Linked DNA regions of Oryctolagus cuniculus. The protein of the gene in region 1 interacts with the protein of each later gene in a biochemical or structural test. Links are inferred from orthologs where the notes say so. Each region holds a gene or a part of one and is shown on either strand. Other genes may lie near its edges.

What was found.
Region 2: the proteins of PINK1 (region 1) and FBXO7 form a complex in vitro, tested with the Homo sapiens proteins (2 studies listed by BioGRID, with this or other methods). The link is inferred for Oryctolagus cuniculus from reciprocal best matches to the Homo sapiens genes PINK1 and FBXO7.

What each region holds. Positions count from the first base shown.
Region 1 is NC_091438.1:150,132,080-150,135,597, forward strand, and holds part of PINK1 (serine/threonine-protein kinase PINK1, mitochondrial), read right to left. Parts: intron 2,922-3,518; coding exon 2,637-2,921; intron 1,884-2,636; coding exon 1,783-1,883; intron 1-1,782. UniProt on the Homo sapiens protein: Serine/threonine-protein kinase which acts as a sensor of mitochondrial damage and protects against mitochondrial dysfunction during cellular stress.
Region 2 is NC_091442.1:110,392,223-110,395,740, forward strand, and holds part of FBXO7 (F-box only protein 7), read left to right. Parts: intron 1-408; coding exon 409-703; coding exon of another isoform or gene 704-707; intron 708-3,518. UniProt on the Homo sapiens protein: Substrate recognition component of a SCF (SKP1-CUL1-F-box protein) E3 ubiquitin-protein ligase complex which mediates the ubiquitination and subsequent proteasomal degradation of target proteins and plays a role in several biological processes such as cell cycle, cell proliferation, or maintenance of chromosome stability.

The sequences.
Region 1 (3,518 bases):
GTAACATGGGAGTCGGTGGGGGGTGCGGCCACGCACGTGCTAAGCTGCTGCGTCAGGAGCCGTCCGTCCTGGGGCAGCTTGGCGGAGTGGAGGGGTAAGTGCAGACGGATGACGGAGAAGCAGGAGGTGCACCTCGCGGGGGGCTCCTAGGAGGTGCAGGCAGGGGACACTCCCGGGGGCTTGTGGGGCAGAGCTGCTCCCGCCACAGCCGTCCTGCACTCCATGGATATGCGCCTATGGCACAGCCGGACGGCAGCGAATCTACAAAGACGTCTGATTTATGACTAAATGGTGGGGGGCTGGCTGTGGCGTAGCAGATAAAGCTGCAGCCTGCTGGCGTCCATATGGGCGCCAGTTCGAGACCCAGCTGCTCCACTTCTGATCTAACTCTCTGCTATGGCTCCTGGCTTCAGACTGGCGCAGCTCTGGCTGTTGTAGCCATCTGGGGAGTGAACAATCGGACAGAAGATCTCTCTCTCTCTCTCTGCCTTTCTGTAACTCTGCCTTTCAAATAAATAAATAAATATTAAAAAAAAGACTACATGGTGGGTTGGCATTGTAGCACAGTGGGCAAAGCCACCACCTGTGACGCTGGCATCCCATGTGGGTGCCAGTTCAAGTCCTGGCTGCTCCATTTCCGATCCAGCTCTCTGCTAATGTGCCAGGGAAAGTAGTGGAAGATGGCCCAAGTGCTTGGGTCCCTACTCTTGTGGGAGACCCAGAGGGGGCTCCTGGCTTCGCTCCGGCCCAGTGCTGGCCATGGCAGCCGTCTGGGGAATGAACCAGCAGATGGAAGACTCTCTGACTCCCCCCTTCTCTGCAACTCTGTGAAAATCAATCTGGGGGGGGGGCTGGATGACGATTCATGCTGTGAAATGACAGAGGGGCGTCAGGCAGGTGACATCACAGCAGTGAGGATTCACGTCCGCCCTGGGCAGCTGTTTCCTGCACAGAGGGCTGGGGAGGGGAGGGCGGCAGCACCACGCTCCTGGGGCCCAGCAGGGACTCAGCCACCCGGGACTCTTCCAGGCCACAGGGCTTCTCCATGCCTATCCCCACACGTCGCTGTCTTCCTGCGCCTGACGGGACTGAGATGGGAAAGCCAACCCTCCACTCTGTCACCAGCACCGCAGCTGTCCCGCGGCTCCCTGGGGGGCGCCGCTGACCCAGCCGGCATTTGCAGAGCCGGCCTGGCCTGCAGGCTGCCGTGCACCGTCCAATCAGCTCTTCCCTCAGCTGAGAACACCCTCCACAGGGAGCACGCGCTCCCTCCGCGTGGCCTGGCCCTGCAGGGAGCGTACGGCCTACCGGGCACCTGGGCAGACGCTGCCCTGGCACTGCCAACACTGGCTCTGCTCTGCGCTGCGCTGGCCGGGCTCTGCCCACACGCAGGACTCTGGCACGACACAGCACTCTGGTGCCGGCAGCGCAGGGAGCTGCTGGTGCAACGGGCCCCGAGCGGGCGTAGCCACTAGGTGGCGCTGCACACCGCTTAGGAGGAGTCTGGGGCCTCGTCCACTTCCCCCGCGTTTGGAACTGGGCATTTGCGAGTGGCCTTTCTCCCCTGCTCTGATGTGAATTCGCCATCTGCATCAGCTGGGGCCACGTGATCTGAAATCTTTGCCAAGCTAAATTCTCCCCCGACTGAAAACCCGCCTGATCAAATGATTCGGGAAACATTTGTTGCTGTGTCACATCTGGCATCGCGCTGAGTGCGGGGACCCAGGCGATGACTTGGCTCTCAAAGAACTCAGCTGGCCAGGTGGGGGGGGGGGCGCTCACCTGTGCGTGACCGCTCCGTACTCCCCGGCCAGGGCCACTCGGCTGGCTGGGACGAGCTCCTGGCTCATGGTCCTGAAGATGGCCTCGCTGGAGGAGCCGGCCTGCAGCGGCAGCAGGAAAGACCAGGGTTACACAGACGCGGCCGCGTGCCTGGGGCCAGCTCTGACCTTCAGGCGGAGGAGGCAACGCTGTGAGGTGGGAAGCCAAGCCTCCACACTCCCGGTCCCAAGGCCCGCATCCCAGCCAGAAACTGCACGCGCCGGTATGGAGCGCGGGGGGCCGGGCCGCTCTCTGCCTCCGCCGTGGGTGCGTGTTCTGAGCAGGGGCGTGCCAGGGGTGGATTAATTCTCTAAACCCAACCTCGACGGGTGGGGAAAGATTCCTCTAACAGACAGACCCACGCTCATGTCGGGGAAAGTATTCTACTTGCCAGGGCCTTCCGAGAGCTGAGAGCGGGGCTGACAGGCGAGGCCTCCAGCTGGGGGTGGGGGTGGGGCGGGGGGGCCGGCTCCTCGCCAGCATGGTGGTGGTTCCAAGCAACGGCCGGCCAGACGTGAGCCCACCGATGGGTCTGGAAGCCACTGGTGCGGGCACTCGCTCCTGCGTGGCCCACAGACCCACTGCACTGGCACCCCCCAGGAGCTGGCTCCAGAGGCAGGACCCGAGGCCCCCCCCTGAGCTGCTCAGTCCCAGGTGGCTGCGGACAGGTTACAGGGAGCTCTGGACCCCGGGAGAGATGGCGAGGGGGCGGGGCCACACGTTCCCTAGCTCCCGCCCGGAGGACCCTCCCCAGGGCCCACCAAGACCCCGCGCTGTGGGCGACGCCGACTCAGCAGAGGAAGGGCCGCCCTTACCGAGATGTTCCACATCATCTTGATGGCCAAGGGAAAGGCAGGGGTGGCGGGAGCGTGCGCCTCCTGGGCTCCTGCTGCCGCGGGATCCGGGCCGCTCCCCGGGCGCCGGGCACCCTGTGCCACCTCCAGGCGCACAGGCAAGGCGGGCATGGCGGCTTCGTAGACGGCGGCGCTGCAGCCCTTGCCGATGGGCTGCCCGATCAGGTACTCCTCCAGCTGGAAGCCCTGCCGGCGCCTGGCGGCCAGCGGGTCGGCCTCCAGCCTGCTTCTCTGGGTGAAGATGGCCTGCGAGGGAGAGAGCGCTCCGTGAGCCAGGGAGCCGGGAAGGGAAGGAAGAGAGCCGGCGGGGAGAGGTGTTCCGAGGCAGGGGCCTCACACCCACAGTCCCAGAGTCCATAAAAACCCAACCGCACCGGGCCTGACTGCTCCCCGGGGCTCGGGCCACTCTGCCTGAGCACATTTTCACGTCCTTTCCCTGCACCGCGATGACAGGCACAGCCCAGTGTGGCGGGGGCGAGGTCAGGACGTCTGAGTCCCGGGGACACATGGTCCTCTGCTGCCCCCACCCCGGCAGTCCTGCAGCCGCCTGACTGTGCAGCCGGCTCCCCACAGGGCCCTGGCCCTGGCCCCGCGGCAGGCAAGCAGATGAGACCAGGCGCGCCCCGGAGCAGTCACTCAGCCCTGCCTGGCTGTTGCTGCCTCTCGGGCCTCTGGTGGGTCACCCGGTTCAGTACAGGTTCTGCCAGGGGCAGGTGGCTGCTGGGCCCTGCGTGGTGCTAAGGAAACAGCCTATCCCCGAAACGCTGGGCTCGCCTCCGCGTCAGACTCAGGGCCGTCACCTCACCCGCCCAGGCGCTGCTTCCTCTCGGAGAGTCTCATATG
Region 2 (3,518 bases), on another chromosome or scaffold:
TAGTGTAAGACCCACACTGTTTGATGTAACACGAAGGGAAAATGCTGTCAATTAAACTGATAATGTTTAACTGAGCCATCCTGGTTTGAAAGGTGTCAAAATATATAAAAAACATGTGTCCTAGATTTGATGAAAACATGGATTAATGCTAGGAAAGTACTGTGTCTATCCCCTAGGCTAGAATTCAACTGTTAGAAATCTATCAACTAGGCATTTGAAGACAAGAACAAATACATTTAGATAATTGTATGAGAACTTTGGTCTCTCTCGCTCCTTCCCTCCCCGCCCCCCTTTTTCATTGGTTAGTTCCTCTAGCATCATGCCATGTACTTATGTGTGTTTCAGATGTATTATTGAGGGCAATGGTAATAGATCACTCTTACTGTCCTTATTCATCTCTCTTGGCAGTTCTGATACCCGATTTGCAGTTTCATTGAACAACAAGGATGCCCTCACTGGAGATGAAGAGACCTTGGCTTCATATGGGATTGTTTCTGGGGACTTGATATGTTTGATTCTTGAAGATGCCATTCCAGCAGCTAACTTGCCTTCATCCACAGATTCAGAGAATTCCTCAGTCCAGAATAATGACCACCCCTCTTTGGCCGCCAGCTCCAGTCAGGCCAGCCAGCCCGATGAACAACTGCGCGATTCATTCCAAGAACAGGCAGCTCAGTCTGACGTCTGGCATGATGACAGCATGGTAGGTATGAAGGGCCCACGTGTGAAGTGGAGTAGTTGATAACTCACATTGAACTCCTCCGTTGAACTCCTGATCATTCAGGATAGTTACTACCAGGCGACTGCAGGTTACATTCTCAGAGAACGTTATTTTTTTAAAAAACTGCTAAAGGTCTGAAGCAGTATGGGGCTGTTATTCCAGAGTGTCTAGTTTGTACCTTGATGTTTTGTTCACTCACTGTTTTGGCTACAGTACCCATTGGCTTTGGCGGCTGTCTCTGTGCTCCTGATCCCCAGCTTGGCTTCTTGGGAAGCTACCCCACAAAGCTGTTCTAGTCCAGTGATTTCCACAAGGCTTGAGGACACGTGCACCCGGAGTGCTTAAACTGTTAAGTTAGTCTTGAGATGTCTAACACGAACTCGGAAGGCTGTGCACATCCCATCCTTCTCTGCCCGTCGGTGGCACAGCTGTTTTCCTGTGGTTTTTGACTCCTGATCGCCAGCCCGTTAACCAGCTGCGTCAGTTTTTCTTTTTCATGTTAGGCTTCCAATGTCTTCTTCAATCTGCTTTCAAGTTTTGCCATTTTCCTATGTTCTTCATTTTCTTGTTTCTTTGCTCTGTAGTAACTGTCTAGTAAATAGACCATAATTTTTGAGCTGAAAAAAAAATCAAGTTCCATCTGTATTTTTTTTTAAGATTTATTTATTTATTTGCAAGGCAGAGTTAGAGAGAGAGAAACAGAGAGAGAGAGAGACATCTTCCATCGCTGGTTCACTCCCAGATGACCGCAACAGCCGGAGCTTCTTTCCGGTCTCACACGCCGGTGCAGGGGCCCAAGGACTTGGGCCATCTTCTACTGCTTTTGCAGGCCATAGCAGAGAGCTGGATCGGAAGCGGAGCAGCTGGGACTGCGGCAGCGGCTTTACCCGCTGTGCCACAGCGCCGCCACAGCGCCGGGGCCTCCGTCTGTCTTAAAGAGGAAAATGTTGTCTGTCTTCCTGTTCCTAGTTTTCGAGGCTTTCTGGAAAGCTGCCTCCCCCTCCCCTTTCCAGGGCTGGTTTTTGTTCTCCCTCCTGTAAACGCCTGTCTCCTGCCAGACCAGACTGCTTCATCATCTCCACCCACCAGCCAGCACATCACAGGCTCCGGGGCCCAGGCGCACACGGCAGTGACCCCTTCTGCACCTTAGCTCTCGTTGTTCACCCACACTGAGGCCCCCTGCCTGTCCTGCCTCTCGGTCTGTATGTCTGCCCATCTCCCCAGGCCTGTGCCTGCTGTAACCCAACGTTTGATTTGATTTCTTTGGATTGTTTATCTTGTTTTATCAACACCTCTATATTATCCCATTTAAAAATTTAAAAATTTATTTTATGGTACAAATGATTACTTTTTTTACTTTTGAAAATACAAACACATGCCTTTTTGTTAATTGTTTTGTGTGTATACTTTTTTTAAAAAACAAGGATTTATTTATGTGAAAGAGTTACAGAGAGGCAGAGGCAGAGAGCGAAGTCTTCCCTTCCGCGGTTCACTCCCCAGATGGCTGCAACGGCCAGAGCTGGGCTGATCTGAAGCCAGGAGCCTCTTCTGGATCTCCCGTGAGCGTGGGAGGCCTTGGGCCATCTTCCACTGCTTTCCCAGGCCATGGCAGAGAGCTGGATCAGAAGTGGAGCAGCTGGGACCTGAACTAGCACCCACATGGGAGGCTTTACCACTACGCCAGAGCGCTGGCCCCTTGTGTGTGTACTTGCCATCTCAGCCAAAGCATTCATGGTACCTCTCATGGCATTAAGTTTAGATAGATACTAAAACAACACTTTTTAACAGATTGGTAAATTGTGGAAAATCACTTATGTCTGAATAAATGGATTTTAATTTATTTTAGAAACTATTGGATCTCTGTGTTTCTGCCTCATAGAGATAATTTAGAGAATAAGTAAGAATATTTAGATACATTTTAAAATTGCACTTCCAAGGTTTTTTTTTTTTTTTGCTGAGCAAGGGATAACTTTAGTAGAAGGGCTTATTCTCTGTGTACATTAAACAAGGTGAAGCTTTTCATAGCGTAGGAGAATGTTGAGAAGTTAGTGTTGCCTCAAGTTAATAATTTCAGTACTAAAACCATTGTGTGGTATTCCAAGGGTTGTGACTGGAAAAACTCAGCATGGTAACCAAGCCTAAATAACCCCGTGAGTACTTGATACAGTATGATCTGCTTCAGTGTGGAATGGAGCCATAGAAAAGGAAATAGATGGGGAAAGTTTAAAACCATAGGAGATACATTTCACCCTTGTAATCAAACAAGAAATTGATTTTCTGATTTCACTGTCTTTGAGAACTCATCTAGTGTGTGTTGAGTCTTTAATGAGGAACAGAGGTGGAGGTGTCAGAGATCTCTTAGGTACGTGTTAGTCACCCATTTCAGTCCCTTGCCAGTGGCCGTGGCAAAGTGATCTGCTCTGAGAGGTGGTGCCCAGCACCCAGCACGTGTGAAGAAGATAACCGTTATCAGCGCGGCTCAGGGCGTGGGCCGCTTCTCGCGGCGTGGGAGGCCGTTTGGACAAGTCTGCCGGGGCCTTGCGCTCTTCCTCCTGTGTGATTATCAGCTTAGGGTGACCCTGTTTCTATTTTCCCACAAATGTGAGAACAGCTCTCACCTCTCACTCCACCCTTTCACTCACACTGTATAGTTTTAATTTCCTCTGCCCTTTCTTTAGCGGGAATACAGATGTAAAAGGAGAAACATGTGCTTTGCCTTAAGAGTGGGGCTCTTGCCTAGGAAACAAGCTTGCCGAGCAAAGCTAACGTAGCTGACTTGGTTTCGCTGAAGCTGTGT